Linked DNA regions of Kluyveromyces lactis. The protein of the gene in region 2 interacts with the protein of the main gene of each other region in a biochemical or structural test. Links are inferred from orthologs where the notes say so. Each region holds a gene or a part of one and is shown on either strand. Other genes may lie near its edges.

Region 1 (5,727 bases), on a different chromosome or scaffold from region 2:
ATCCGTCGAAACTGCTGCCCCAGCCACCGAAACTGACACGGCCGCTTTTGTTACTCAAGTTGTTGCTGCCGGTGCTGCTGCCTCTCCATCGTCTCAAGCTGTCGCTGCTGAGTACGTCTCTGATGAAGATACCACCACTACTGGTGCTCCATCCACCACATCCACTGCTGAACAAACTACTTTGACCCCAACTCCAACCATCGAGCAAACTGCTACCAGTACCCCAGCTACCACTACTGCAGCTACCAGTTCTTCCAGCTCTGACTCTAACCTTTCGTCCTTCGCGTCTTCAATGTTGGATGAGCACAATGCTAAGAGAGCTCTACATAAGGACACTCCAACTTTGTCCTGGTCCGATGAATTGGCCTCTTACGCTCAAAACTACGCTGATGATTACGACTGTTCAGGTTCATTGACTCATTCTGGTGGTCCATACGGTGAGAATTTGGCCATTGGTTATGGTACCACTGGTGCTGTCGATGCTTGGTACAGCGAAATCAAGGATTACAGTTTCTCCAATCCAGATTATTCCTCTAGCACCGGTCATTTCACCCAAGTTGTTTGGAAATCCACCACCAAGGTCGGTTGTGGTATCAAGCAATGTGGTGGTGTATGGGGCGACTACATCATCTGTTCCTACGATCCAGCTGGTAACATGCTAGGTACTTTTGCCTCAAATGTCGAGCCATTGGCTTAAACCCAATCTCATTTCGGATATTTTTGAAACAAATGTCAAACATTTGTCATGGCTCTTACCCACAATACAAATACCAGTTTTATATTTCAGGACAACGAAACAGTTTTTCAGTTCTCAGACAGGAAGATGGTAGATTATCGTTTGATTATCCCGGTCGTCTGCTGGCGTCACTATCTTATTTTACTCTAGAATTCAGTCCGTATTTTTTAGATACCTTTTGTCGTTTTATGTATACGTTTTTATACCCTATCAGTTTTCTTGCAAATTCCATACAATCCTGGAACACAGAGCTATCGGCAGAGCTTGCAACTTGATAGCTTATAAACAGGGCCATTAATGTTTCTGGTTTTCGAATGGCTTAAGTATCTATAACCCTTGAGGCATAATTTTTCAGATAGATAAACTTCGGAAATAGAGCAACACCTGCCAAATGAATCAGGTTTACTGGCTCATATTGGTGGTACTAATCCACGCAAAAATCTTGTGTCATGCACAGGGTATAACAGTGACAAAATACAACACTGTTCGAATAATAAGAACGAAAACCGTCTCAACGACAACACATTTCACAACTTCAAGAACAATTGTTTACAGAACAGCCTCCGGCACCTTCACGGAACAAGTGTCCACAAAACCAACGGCCACGGACCCGGATTTCAAAACGGAAATCCTGGACGTGCACAACTCATTACGCAAGAAACATCAGGTTTCATCGCTAGTTTGGGCTCCAGAACTTGCATCTAGAGCACAAAATTTCGCCAATTCTTACGTATGCAACGGGCAATTAGAACACTCAAAGCTGCCTTACGGAGAGAACCTTGCTCTAGGATATAATACTACCTCAGCTGTTCTAGCATGGTATAACGAGGTAAAACTGTACGATTTTAACAACCCACAGTTCGCAGCAAATACAGGACATTTCACCCAGCTGGTATGGAAAAATACCTCGAAACTTGGCTGTGCATTTATACGATGTGGCCAGTATTACGGTCAATATACAGTATGCGAATACGACCCACCGGGGAATGTAATCGGAAAGTTCAGTGAAAATGTCTTACCCGAGAAGTAAAATAGAAAACTGTCCGATGACAGAAGACTTGATAAGCGTTGGTTGATTCTTTCCCTTGCAAATCACGAACTCAGGGTAACCAACACTTCTCCTTTCTTTTCACGGGCTTTCACACGATTTGGATCGTTGTTCTTTTCGAAGCTTCGACAATATGAAGAAATAAGAAGTGAAATTCAGTTAGAGAAAAGAAGGTTTAAAATATAAAAATAGTTAAACTTTGAATCATAGATACCGGTTTCAAGCCACCTAGATTAGCCGAATAAGTGAATTGTGGGATCAATTGGTGTACTATAGAATATACTCAACCGTTTTTCTGTATCATAGTCGTGTGTGTTTGCTTTTTCTCTTTTATTTCCTGTGCTTAATACTCAATCACTCACTATATTGAATATTAGTTAAGGGTATTTGTTTGTTTGTTACTGATTTTTTAGTTTTTGATTTACTGCTTTGTTATAACCGGACCTTCCTTTATTTTCAATAATGTCTGAAATCACTCCTGATGTTGCTGAAGATTATTCTCAAATCGTGGTAGATACGCCACCTTCTTCTGCTGATGATTCGTCGAAATTAGCTGGCCAAACAATTGAACAAACTGAAAAGTCTAATGGTGAAGAAGCTGCCACTGCGCCAGCGGTCAAGGTTTTATTTCCAAGATTGGGAGGAAATGCTGCTGCGTCTGCTTCTGGCAATGCTGTCTCCTGGGGGTCTACTCTGAAATCAGGTAGCTCCGTTAACAGTGTCTCTTCTCTTTCCCATGGCAAAAACGGACGTGCTTCTTCACCTGGTTCTGCTAAGCCATTGCGTTCGAGAAACATTCAGGAAGTGTTCTCGCTAGACTTAGATGCACAATACCAAATCACAAAGACCGAATTCTCCAGCATCGTTCAGTCTGTTAAACAAAAGTACGATGTCTCTGTGGAATCCACACTATCAAAGACTTCGCGTACTTTCTTGATCTCTGGTTCTTCTGACAAGATTGGTCTTGCTAAGAGAGAGTTGGTCAAGAAGTTGACTAAACCTGTCAATGTGACTTTTGAAGTTCCTTCAAAAACTAGATCTGCCATTATCGGATCTGGTGGTAAGACCATCAGAGCAATCTCAGATGCTGCTGGTGTAAAAATCGTGGTTCCGAAGGAGGTTGATGAGGGTACCTACGATTCAGATTTGGAAGACTATTCAGTAACCATCTCTTTACACGGCGATGCTGAATCTGTTCTCGTTGCAAAGAGTAAGATCTTGGACGTCGTGAAGGAGGAAACTAAAAACGCCAAGATTGTTCTTCCTGTCGAGGACTCCAAGTTGGTTCCCTTCATCGATCTAGAATCAGTTGAAATTCCAGCTGATGTAAAGGCGCAGCTGTTTACAAACAATGACCCCGCTGAAATCGCATTAAATGGTCCTCGTGATAATGTTAAATTGGCCAAGGTTAAGGTGATCAACTATTTGAACGAATTGGGTCTAAAGATCGTGGTGAAAAAGGAAAAGGTCCCATTCAAATTCCATCCTTTGGTAAAGCCTTCAGAATTGAATGAGAAGTTCCACGTCGAAGTACAAGCTCCAAGTATTTCCGGCGATGATCAATTCGTTTTCATCGGAAGCTCTGACAACGTCAATGAGGCCATCGTGTACGCTAAGAACTCATCTAAATTCCATACCGTGGAATCATTGGAAATTTCAAAAGCTCATGGTAAAAACGTTAAACATGCTAAGAACTTGATTCTATACTTCCAAAAATATAACGTCTTAGATCAAATTACCGAAGACTTCCCACAAGTGCAAGTAGTTTTACCTAAAGTGGAAAGTATTCCAGCATTGGAATCCGTCAGTATTACCTTAATTTCAAACAACGATGCCGCAGACGCTATCAAGACCGTTCGTAAACAAATTGTAGCTTTGGTTAATGAATTATCTCCAGAACAAACGTTAACTATTTCAGATTTGGATTATCATCTATTCCACAAGGACATCAAGCAAATCTTGGTCTCGACTGAAAGTGATGTCCCATTCATTCAATTGGGTGACTGTTTCCCAGGTAATGACGATATCTTACTAATCACCAAGATCAATGAAGATGATTTCAAGCCATCTGATGATGAACTAAAAGTTAAGCTGGAATCGGTCAACCAACAATTGGAACCAATCAGAAAGAAGCAAAGCCTTTTAGCATCCAATGTTGTTTCCCTTGCCAAAAAAGAACAGGATGAACTACTCGGAGAATCAAAAGTCACTTTGAACTTGATCAATGAAGCTGTTTCTCATGCTGGCGCTCATGCTTTAATCAAGTTGAGCACCCCTTCAGTCAACCAAATTACTATCAGAGGTGATGACCATGGATGTAAGATTGCTTCCGCTGCTGTCAAGTCCATCGTCGAGAATTCATCAACAGAATCCAAGATCACATTCCAAGTTCCAACCAATGTAGTTTCGAGATTGATTGGTCCAAAGGGTGCTAACTTACAACAAATTCGTGAAAAGTTTGACGTTCAAACTTTCATCCCACAAGATTCTAAGGATGAGAATACCGATGTTACATTGACCGGTTTGCAATACAATCTTGACCAAGCGAAAACATATATTCTAGCAGAAGCTAAAAAATGGTCCGATATTATCACTAAGGAATTAATCGTCCCTATGAAGTACCACCGTACATTAAGTGGACCTCAAGGCACTTATCGTATCCGTTTGGAGAACAAGTACTCCGTTTTCATCAGATTTCCTAAGGACAGTGAGTTAGTCACCATCAGAGGTCCATCTCGTGGTGTCAAAGCCGCTTATGATGAACTGAAGGCTCTTTTGGACTTCGAAATTGAAAATGGCCATAAAGAGCTTCTCAAAGTTCCAGTCGACTATGTTACTAGAGTCATAGGTAAAAGTGGTGAAACTATCAACGATATTAAGGCAGAGTATGGTGTTGAGTTAAACTTTTTGGACAAAACCGACAGTGAAAAGGCTAAGGAAGCTGGTGAAGTCGAGTTGGAAATCACTGGTTCTAGATCTAGCATCAAAGAAGCTGCAAACAAAGTCAAATCTATCATTGATCAAGCATCAAATTTTGAGACAGTTACTCTGGAAGATATCGACTCTAAGTATTATAGCGATATCATCGGTCGTAGTGGCTCCCAATTGAAAGAAATTATCAGCAAAGCTGGTGGTGATGAGATTAGAAACAAGAGAGTCAATATCCCTGATGCCTCTTCTGAAGACAAGGTTATCACTATCTTCGGACCATCTGACTTTGTGAAGAAGGTTGTCAAACAAATTAAGGGAGTTGTTTCTGGCTTAGAAAACAGCATTACCGAGGAGCTAAATATTCCACAAGAGAAGTTTGGTGCCTTGATTGGTCCAGCTGGATCAGTAAGACGTGAATTGGAGACAGAATTCAAAGTAAGAATTCATGTTCCAAACAAGAACAGCTCAGATGAAAAGGTCACTGTTTCTGGTTCTCCTGCTAATATTGAATCTTGCAAGAAGAAAATCGAAAAAGAAATCATCAGGGATAGTTTCGACTTGGAAATTGCTGTCCCTGCCAAATACCATTCATACGTTTCTAACTCTGGTTTGATTTTCCAAACGTTAAGAAACGAATTTTCTATTGATGTTTCTCATGGTAACTTGACTAGAACCGCACAAAGTTTATCTCGTGCGAACTACAAGGTTCCTGAAAATGTCGCTGGTGGTGAAAATGAAAGCTCCAACGTCCTCATTCAATCTGTCACAGAAACTGAAGCTAAGGTTGACACAATCCCATGGAGATTAACATACTCACCAATTGACTTGAGTGATGTTTTAGGTGAAGACTATAAGAAAGATGAAGAAAGCAAAGATCAAGTCTTAGAAAAAGCGTCCAAATTGATAGAAGACAGAATCGCCGAGGCTAAACTTGTTAACACCGAAGGTTTCGTTTGGTCCAAGGATGCAAAGAAGTTTAACTCTATTGTTGGACCAAACGGTAGAAATATCA
Region 2 (5,275 bases):
GCATTCATATCTTAGATTTCATCGACTTGAGTTGCAAGCGTCATACTAGTGAAAATCTAAAAAATGCCTTGTTATCTTGTCTTTCTGAATATTCTATTAGTCACAAAGTCAGCAGCATTACTTTGGACAATGGTTCGAACAATATATCCATGCTTGATGGCATCGACAAGGCCCTTGACTTAGGATTTGACCTGAACGGTGTAAGGAGTATTTCTAGGATTAGATGTATGAATCATGTATTGAATAGGGTATTCTTGGATTTGTTAAATGCCTTTGAAAAAGGTCACGAGTCGCTGCTATCGAGGATTGATAAACTAGCATCTTATACAAAGAGTAACGTTTACATCAGAAATAAGATCCGCTCTTATATTCCTTGCACGATTCCCAAACACAATATCACAAGGTTCCTTTCTCGTTACCGTCAACTTGAAGTTTTCCTTAAAGTCTCTAAAGGTGCTAAAGAGTTTTTCTTTGATAACCGTTTCAAACCTGAATTCCAGCTAATTCCAGATGACTGCTCTGTATTTTGTTATCAAGAGGAGGAATTGGAGTATATTCTTTTCTTTGTGAGGATAGCACGCATTTTTCAAGAAGTTACCATGCTCCTTCAAGATGATACCACAAATTCATTATGCAATGGAATTAAATATTACATGACTATCCGCCAATATTACAAGTCTTGCGAAGAGTTAAAAAACGGTTCGGATGATATTTTGCATGTAGCCAATGTTGGGATTAAGAAAACTCATTTACCATCAAATACTATAAAGGAACAAGTTTTCTCTGCGGTCATGGCCTCGTACCCCAAATTTGAAAAATACATGGACTTTGCGTTCAAAGAACCAGGATATTGGGTGGCACATATCTCACAACCTCACCGTAAGACTGACCTATTGAACAGGTCCTTTGAGCAATCGTTCAAAGAGGATGTCATTGAATCAGCAACAAGTTATGTTGTCAGTTACTGCAAACGATTTACTGAAACTTCCGATATTCGCTCGCACAATAAACCAACTGAACCATTGAATATCAATCGTGTTAAGAAGCCAAAATTATTAAAAAACCTATCTGCATATCTGGATAGAAACATTTCAGAATTCCATTTTGCGCCTAAGGATGAGTGGCAGATATACTTGGGGGAACCATTGGAGAAAGAGAAGGATTTTTTGAGCTATTGGCTTGAAAACCAATCAAGATTTCCTGCATTGTGCAGTCTGGCTCTTGCCTTTTACCACACTAAGCTCTCAACTGCTGACGTCGAAAGGAGCTTCTCAATCAGTAAGCGTGTTTTAGATGATAGATTTTCTCTTGCTAGTTCCAATTTAAAAAGCACAATGATAGTAAGGAATCGCTTGATGTGTTTCAATTTGGGCTCAAAGATGCCTGTGACTGAACATATTGCAACGGACTCTTGGACGGATGACGAGGACGATATGGAGCATTCAAATTTTAGCCAACAATCATTCTACGATCCTGCCGCAGTCATCGATATTTACTCCAGTGACAGTAGTGATTGAAACTAATACATAGATAGCAGAATTTTGGAATCACCAGTTTATAATGAGGAAAATACGATATTAACGTTATTCCTAATTATAAAAGAGTAATTGGGGAAGATTAAAGATGTAATATATACATCTTGGTTCGTATATAATAGCCACTTATCGAGTGGTGATGTACTTTAATGTAGTGTCATAGCATATTGACGTAGTGAAGAATGGATTCGTGAATTGTCTGAATCCTCTCGTAAAACGTGACAGGATTGGTGACTGAAAATGGTCAATTCGCCGGACTCGTCCCAGTACGGTCTCCTACATAAGGTATCAGTCATCATCAACGATTTCTACGCCGTTTACATTTTGATGATAAAATTGAAAACTTGTCATATACGGAACATCAACAATAAAAGAAGGATCAATGCGTAATTGTAGGGCGGATAGAATTGGGTTTTGTGAGACTCCAGAAACGTCACACTAGTATAAGAATTGCAAGTTTTCTAACAAGTTAGTCAACTTCTCAATTAGAAGCAACTATTCTCAGAGTAAACAAGATATCCCTCTGTTGAACGCAAACTCTTAGTGAAGCATTTACGAGTACATACTCATCAGAGAAGATATGTCGCACGACCCAAATCAACAACAGCCGCATGGTGGCTCAGGTCAAGGCCATCACCAACGCCAGCTGACTAACCACGCACAAGGCCAACATATCGGTAAGTATCAAATCATCAAGACCTTGGGTGAAGGATCATTTGGTAAAGTGAAACTGGCGTACCATATCTCTACGGGACAAAAAGTGGCATTAAAAATCATCAATAAGAAGGTTCTAGCCAAGAGTGATATGCAAGGTAGAATCGAGAGAGAGATTTCGTACTTACGTTTGTTGAGACATCCACACATTATCAAATTGTATGACGTGATCAAATCGAAGGACGAAATTATCATGGTGATTGAGTATGCTGGTAATGAATTATTTGATTATATTGTCCAAAGAGACAAGATGCCTGAACAAGAAGCAAGAAGATTTTTCCAACAGATTATTAGCGCAGTAGATTATTGTCACCGTCATAAAATTGTGCATAGAGATTTGAAACCAGAGAATTTACTATTAGACGAACATTTGAACGTTAAGATTGCTGATTTTGGTTTATCTAATATAATGACAGATGGTAACTTTTTGAAGACTTCATGTGGTTCTCCAAATTATGCGGCCCCAGAAGTCATCAGCGGTAAACTATATGCAGGTCCAGAGGTTGACGTTTGGTCTTCAGGGGTTATCTTATACGTCATGTTGTGTCGTAGGTTACCATTCGATGACGAAAGTATCCCAGTGTTGTTTAAGAACATTAGCAATGGTGTTTACACCATACCTAACTTCCTTTCCCAAGGTGCTGCGAGCTTAATCAAAAAGATGCTCATCGTCAATCCAGTTAATAGAATTACCGTGCATGAAATCATGCAGGATGAATGGTTCAAAGTTGATTTACCCGACTACCTAGTTCCTGCTGAAAGCACCCATCAAGAAAACTCTGAAAGCAAAACAGAAGATGGCGGCCCATCCGTGCCACTCGAACTGATCGATGATTCGTTAGTTCAAACGCTATCAAACACTATGGGTTATGACGTAGATGAGATATATGAGGCTTTAGAGTCCGATGAAGATCATCCATCTTTAAATGAAATCAGGGATGCCTATCAGTTAATTAAAGAGAACAGAAATTTAATCAACGACATCAAGGTGAACAAGCAACAATCTAATGACTTGGATACTTTCTTATCGCAATCTCCACCCACTTTCGAACAATCCTTGCATGCCCCCCCGGGCTCAAAAAATCGACACTCACACCGCCATTCAAAGAGAACACAGCAACGTACATATCAATATCATTATGGAAATGGTTCTCAGGATGGAGACAGCACGATTGCAATTTTACCTAGCTCGTTACCACAGATCCATAGAGCCAACATGGTAGCACAAGGGTCCCAGGCTGCTGCTAAGATTTCACCATTAAGCGTGAAAAAATCAAAAACAAGGTGGCATTTCGGTATACGATCAAGATCCTATCCATTAGACGTTATGGGAGAAATATACATTGCATTGAAAAACTTGGGAGCCGAATGGGCGAAACCATCAGAAGAGGACCTATGGACTATTAGAGTCCGTTGGAGATATAATATCGATATGCCTGATGACGAAATGAAGAACAAGCAGATTCCAGATTTAATGAAGATGGTAATCCAATTGTTCCAAATTGAGACAAATAACTACTTAGTGGATTTCAAATTTGATGGCTGGGAGTCCAGTAACGGTGTAGTGTATTCAAGTCGGAACGACGATGAAATGAGTACGTTCAGTGCATACCCCTTTCTACATTTAGCAACCAGGCTGATTATGGAACTTGCAGTGAATAGCCAAGGAAGTTGATTTTAAGGTTCATGAAATTAAAAAAATACTAACGGATAATATCCAACGAAGAGTGTATATAAGTTTGAATATTTGCTTAAAGTTTAAGCCTTATATACATATCATTAAATAATGACAATCACTATATTATATGAGAAATTACTCTTAGCTCACAACACTCGCCGGGAAGAAGAGGAAAACAACATACATGTTTTTGACACATGAAAAAAGAATGCATCGGCCGGGAATCGAACCCGGGGCCCAACGATGGCAACGTTGGATTTTACCACTAAACCACCGATGCTACTTTGTTGTAGTTTTCGTAAGATAGACTGAAGACAGGCCAGACGAAGGGTCATGTGAGCTAGCCAGCACACGGCAGAGTTCCAAGACGTCAGTGACTGGGCATATGGATCCTGTGGTATCCAGAAGGGAAGGCCTAGATGGATCAAAGAGGGTCACGTGACAATATTTAGTGAAATTGGAATAGGCAGAAGCTGCGCATGACGAGTGGCTCATGAGACTATCAGTTACCATGAAAAAGTCCGACGGACAACTGAGTATGAGTTGAGTATTAGGGCTGAGTTAAGTTGCAACCTTTTGAGAGGTTGGATGCAACAAGAAGGAGCAAGACGCATATGCTCAAGGATCTAACTATGTATATTCTTATATCAAATTCAGTACTTGTTTGGTCTCTACGATTCCACAAGAGGTGAGCAATCAATCAGCTATCATCCACGGCACATCACAACATGAGACTATTATACTGTTAAGTATAGTCGGGTCTATCATAATAGTAATATTTGCTATACTAGTGGGCAAAAAAATGGTTCCTAGCGGGATCGAACCGCTGATCCCCGCGTTATTAGCACGGTGCCTTAACCAACTGGGCCAAGGAACCAACTTGGATGTTGAGGAGGAAGATTGTGTTGCCTAAATGTTGAGACGGAACATAAACTATGATCGGGTAACTACCGATGCAATTGGCGGTTAAGTAGCTATACGGTACGTATTAATTGAAGTATCGTTAACTGACCTGAGTTATTATATGAGGAGGCATCAGGTCTGACAAATGACAATCAGCTCAACCGGGCCAGATCTTCAGATGAGCCATATTTCTTAGTACTATATATAGTAGTGTATATTGACCCACCTGATACTGAAGATCTAGAATCGATTTCATGTGACAGGAATAACCCGAAATATCGATAATAACCAACTAAGTGTGTTCAACCGTAGTCCGATGAAACGAGCATTTTTCTAGGGAACTTTTTTCGTGCGAGGTATATATATGCATACCTTTGATGAAATAGGGCAAATGTAACGTTAAGGTATAAGGACTATTCATCAGGTCATTTTTATTGTTTTCAAT
Region 3 (5,586 bases), on a different chromosome or scaffold from region 2:
TGTTGTTTTTGATATGTGTCATTTTATACACACAATACCACACTTTGCATAGTTTATTCACTCAAGGTCAGTTATCTATATCTATATCTATATATATATATATAAGGTACGATAAAGGTTTCTTGTCCTTGATTGTATCTTCCAAATCCATCTCTAACACTAGTCTGCCATATCAGAATCCAACACTAACACCAACCAATAAACTTCCAACATGAGCAAGCCATCACTGAATACCAGTTTGGTATCCGTTTCCCATAACGATAAATACGGATCAAGCGTGCCTCCACTATACCAATCTACCACTTTTAAAGCCTCTTCTTTCGACCAGTTGCAAGAGTACGACTACACGAGGTCAGGAAACCCAACTAGAACCGTATTGCAACAACAGATCGCTAATCTTTACGATGTGGCACCAGAACAGGTGTTTGCCGTCTCGAGTGGGATGACTGCACTAGATATCATTTTGAGAACTTTGATAGATAATTCAGATCACATCCCAACGATAATCGCTGGTGATGATTTATACGGTGGTACTCAACGTTTATTAACGTTCCTACAGACGAGAAACCATGCTAAAGTGATTCACACAGATACTACGGATGCCGAGTCGTTCATCAAATTGTACAATTCTTTGGGGCAAGTTGATATCGTGCTTTTAGAATCTCCAACCAACCCGTTGATGAAAGTCGCCGATTTACCAAGGCTGTGCCAATTTGTGAAACAAAAAGGTGGTTCAAGTTCCAACTGTAAAATCGTCGTTGATAACACCATGATGTCAGGTTTGAATTCCAACCCTTTGCAATTCGGAGCAGATGTAGTATACGAATCCGGTACGAAATACCTCAATGGACACCACGATATCATGGCTGGTGTAATAATAGCCAAGAAGGACGTGGCTCCATCCGTATATTTCGTCATTAACAGTACCGGTGCCGGTCTATCTCCGATGGATTCATGGCTCTTGATCCGTGGTCTCAAGACCTTATCTGTTCGTCTTTACAAACAACAGATAAACGCAATGGTGCTCTCGCACTGGCTACAAGATATATGCGGATTCAAGCCTACAGATAATAACCAGCAACTAAAGACAAGGTTTGTTGGGTTGGAATCTCACCCTCAGTTCGAATTGCATAAAAGTTTCAACAATGGTCCCGGTGCAGTGCTATCCATTGAGACTGGCGACCTAGCACTAAGCGAAGCCATTGTAACTTCTAAAAGACTAAATATATGGGCCGTCACGGTATCGTTTGGATGTGTCAACTCGTTGATCTCCATGCCATGCAAGATGTCACATGCCTCCATCGATCCAGAACTACGGAAACAAAGAGCGTTCCCTGAAGACTTGATCAGACTCTGTTGTGGGATAGAAGACGTCAAAGATTTACAATATGACTTACTTGCCGCATTCGAGGAAGCAGGCTTGATCGAATTGCAACAGAGAGGTAACGATACATATTTATTGAACAAGAAGAACGGACACATTGCAAGAAACAATATCGGAGAAACATACCAAGAAAACTACAACGTTTACGACCAATTTTTCGGTCAACGTCTCGTATCAAAGACATCTCATCTACACACTGCAAAGTTGTAGAACGGATAACAACCAAATCTACTCTATAATATTCAATACGTAAATCTTCTAACTGATCCATTTCATTTCATCTCATCTCAAACTCATCTCCATTGCCAACCAATAAATAAGGTAGAAAAGAAAAGGAATCAGCGATCACGTGACTTAGTCTTCCTTCTCTGTTACCCGCCCTTTGTCTCTCCTTAGAAAATGAAAGACCCGTAATCTCAAAGGGGGAAAAAGTGATGATTTACCCAGATGACTGCGTAGCCACAGCGACCCTTTGGTAGTAAGCAGCAGCGAGAAAGCTCGGAAAAGTAATACGGAATTTTCATCGGATTATTCAATTTTTGGAAATCAATTTTCACAGAGAGAACAGAACACTGGATTCGATAAAAACAAAAAAATATAATTTCCTTCTTTTTAGAAAGTCACTTCTCCTTGACTCCCATAATTTATCTAGTTCTTTAATCATCCTGTAAAGATCTTGTGATAGCGTAAGGAATTTCAATAACACAACCATTAGCAGGTTTCTGGAGCACTGGGGAGAACTTGTTGACATTCGGTTATACAGTTGTCTTTTTTTTATTTTTTGGTCAAAAATTTTTTTACGGAAGGAGGCCTTTTTTTATTACTACTGTTTCTACTAGTTTTGTTCTAATTCATTATATTTTAGGAGGACGAAAAGACGGTATTTGCTTCATTCTTTTCACACTATATTGTATTCTATTTGGTTTTTCAAAGATTGTGTTTTGAATCGTGAAGAGAAGAGTGTAATTCCATTGTCTGTCTGAGTTATAAAGTATAAGATAACATCCAGGGGTTTTTTTTTTTCTTTTGTCGTTTGAATTTTACTAGATGAGCAGCGTTCATTCTCAGACCAGTGAGGTCGATGTGCCAGCTGCGTGTACTGGAAAACTGAAAAATCAAGCAGAAGTTGGAAATGGGTCTAGAAATGGGTCTGAGACGTCAATAGCATCGATGAAATCGGCGAAGTCGACTATCACTTTTGAGAAGCAGAAAGTCGTTCCTAGGGCCAGAACCATGTCTGTACAGAGTGTTTTGAGTTCGTTCTCACTCCGGAGTATGTTGAACACTAGAGAGCATGGTGGGCCTCAATCGCAGAACTGTGATGAAGAGGAATGTACCAATACGATGCACAATCATAATACCAGTAATAATAATAATAATAGTAATAATAACAGCAGCAGTATTGCAACGACGTTTATCAATCCCACTCAACAGATACAGTCGCCAGCTATGGCTTCTACGATGGTCAAGAAACGCAACGGGGTTGCGGGCAAGAACAAGCAAACTTTCCTGTCGGATTTACCAATGACTGAGTCACGTTCAAGAATTGGCCAACAGTTACCTTTTAACGATGATAAACGGAAATCTGCTAGGGATTTATGTAAACAGAGATCGTCTTCGAATACTAGTTCCAATTCGACCGCGAATTCGAACTCGAATTCGAATTCTAACCTGAATACGGCAAATCCAGACTCTAAGACGAGAAAAGGGTCATCTCGTGGTTCCGAAGATGCTGCCTCAGATACTACTACCAACAACACTAATAGTAACTCTGAAAATGAATCCAGTGGCGACGCATCTCCAATAGATTCGTCTCATGACTCCGAGTCTGAAGAAGATGATATTTCAAAGCAAAACAAGTTGACAACAGATGCGTTGAGGAAACTTTCGTTGCTGCAGCAAAGTAAGGGTGCTGTATGTAAATCAGTACAGACAACGCCGTTGACCTCGAGTGAAAATTTGGTGGATCCAAAAGAACCTCTGACTCAACTTAAGTTTGGTGGAAAAAACGTTATTTTGGATACAACTGCTACCATTCGTAAGAACTCTGTAGCAATGGAGGCATCAGGGGATCAAAACGAAGCTCGTAAGCAATCTTTGGAAATTATTTCGCAACCAACTGGTGTAACTTTACATGGAACGTCTCATAATTTCAACGAAGCTAAGGGCATTTGTTCCAATAGTACAGCCTCATCTAACTCGAAGAGACTCTTACAGCAGATTAACGAACCGAAGAAACCGATGTATGTTCCTGCAGTGTTGAGAGACATTTCTGAGACGAACATAAAGATAGAAGATTTGAAGTCACATTCTCCTACACCATCTGATGTAACACAAACAACTTTACAAGCTGTGCTGTCTAAACATTCGAACACTTCCAATTCAAATTACGCCAGAAGTATTCATTCTACCACATCATCCATTGTGAGCACTTATAGAAACAAAATTCAATCCTGGCTGTGTAATGAAAGGGATCTGCAATTACAATTGATTCAACCCACCAAAGAGCACTGGATTCCAGATTCCAAACGTCATTCTTGTAAATACTGTCACAAAATTTTCACGTTCTGGGAAAGAAAACATCACTGCAGGCATTGCGGTGATATCTTTTGCCAGCAACATGTCAGACACTGGCTATACTTAAACCCTAACGCCAAGTTTATCATTGGTTGTGGAGGGTTAGGCGTGCTATCTAAAATATGTGACAGTTGCTTAGATGAATATGACACTCTGGTTAAGGCTGGACCCGCCAAAGATCAGGCAGAATTGCAACAGCAGCAGCAGCAACCACCTTCTACTTCTACTTCCTCAACTTCTTCATCACATTCTGGTTCGATTCGTGAAAATGAAAATGAAAATAGTGGAAACCATTCTAACACACTACTCAATTTGCCAAAACCCGCAACAGGAAGAAATATAGACGAAGCATTAAATGGTACTGAGGGTAGTGTAAACCAACGGCAGCACTTGGAAAATATTGTAGGAAGTGTTCCTGCTGATTGGTCTTGGAGCAGTTTCTAATTTACGAATGTTGCATCAAATCTTTTGGTTTTCATCACCTCGTTATCCTTATTACTACACTTCCTGATCCATTTTCGCCTATGCTTTTCCCATTTTATTACGTTTATCCAGTTTATTCCCTAACGGAAGATAGAGCCTAAAACCCATTTTTTTCCATTGCAGACACAATATAAGGGGGATTTCTCGTCACCCTGGTTATTTATTGTTTTCGGTATTTTCAGATTTTCCAAATTTTTCTCTTTTCTATTATTATTCGTTATTATTATTGCCATTATCACTGTCACTATCTGTAACATCGCTCGTTTGACTCCTTATATTTTCCATGTTCCGTTTGCCTTTTTTGTTGTCTCTTTTTTTCATTTCATTTATTTCGCTCAGATCATAAACTATATTATATCGTGTCCCGTTCCAGTGTGGAAAATCTATCCCTACCATTATATTATACCATCCTTAACGTTAATCAAACGAAGGAACTGAGTAAAGCGTCTAAAACCATATGGATCCTTTTTTGTTTTCTCTAAATTTCATCACCATGTTACCATTTACAAAACCATTCTTTTTCTCTCCCAAACATAATAAGAATAAGAATGATAAGAGTAATAATAATAGTAGTATTAATTATTAATTTATTTAAATGTTCTAGTTGACCTAGTTCAATATATATATATATATATATTCGTACATATATACTCGAATAAGAAGTAATATCTCACAACTCTTATACTAAAAGTCACAGCGTCTGCATAATTCATGTGTGGTCAACGTCACTCCTTCCATACCTGATTAAACACAAGGGGGTAGTTGACAAACGAGACAAAATGTAAGTTTGGATGAGAAGGTGTCAGAGTTACCAATAACAAAGATTTTCCCTTTTCTGTCGGTCCTATCTTTGTTTATTCTTTTTTGTCATATTGTTATCAATTTCGTGCCACAGATGTAAAGAAAGACAAGATAAAGTCATTGCGAACAAAGAGTGTGTGTTCTGACATGATTATTACTTAGACATTGTTTAAATGGGATTAATTCGTATGAGTCACGTCTTTTATGTCCTGTTGCTACCAGTTCGGAAGATAATGTTTTGAATCAAGTATTGGAAGAAGTTCCGTTGTTCTTATCTATGGTGCATCCAATTCACTATACCTGACTAGTAATAATTCATTATTTTCGGGTAACCTTACTAA

Evidence for each region.
Region 1: the proteins of SNF1 (region 2) and SCP160 form a complex in vitro, tested with the Saccharomyces cerevisiae proteins (2 studies listed by BioGRID, with this or other methods). The link is inferred for Kluyveromyces lactis from reciprocal best matches to the Saccharomyces cerevisiae genes SNF1 and SCP160.
Region 3: of the proteins of SNF1 (region 2) and PIB2, one has a biochemical effect on the other in vitro, tested with the Saccharomyces cerevisiae proteins (2 studies listed by BioGRID). The link is inferred for Kluyveromyces lactis from reciprocal best matches to the Saccharomyces cerevisiae genes SNF1 and PIB2.

The regions. Positions count from the first base shown.
Region 1 is NC_006040.1:202,583-208,309, reverse strand, and holds the start of SCP160 (Scp160p), read left to right. Parts: upstream 1-2,246; coding exon 2,247-5,727. Other genes in the region: KLLA0_D02442g (CAP domain-containing protein), read left to right, coding at 1-697; KLLA0_D02420g (CAP domain-containing protein), read left to right, coding at 1,128-1,766. UniProt on the Saccharomyces cerevisiae protein: Involved in the control of mitotic chromosome transmission. Required during cell division for faithful partitioning of the ER-nuclear envelope membranes which, in S.cerevisiae, enclose the duplicated chromosomes.
Region 2 is NC_006037.1:337,456-342,730, reverse strand, and holds SNF1 (AMP-activated serine/threonine-protein kinase catalytic subunit SNF1), read left to right. Parts: upstream 1-2,115; coding exon 2,116-3,924; downstream 3,925-5,275. UniProt on the Saccharomyces cerevisiae protein: Serine/threonine protein kinase essential for release from glucose repression.
Region 3 is NC_006039.1:1,483,814-1,489,399, reverse strand, and holds PIB2 (Pib2p), read left to right. Parts: upstream 1-2,431; coding exon 2,432-4,405; downstream 4,406-5,586. Other genes in the region: cystathionine beta-lyase STR3, read left to right, coding at 212-1,594. UniProt on the Saccharomyces cerevisiae protein: Functions as an intracellular glutamine sensor that directly activates the TORC1 signaling pathway, to promote cell growth when glutamine is available. May play a role in repressing NPR1 activity independently of TORC1 signaling.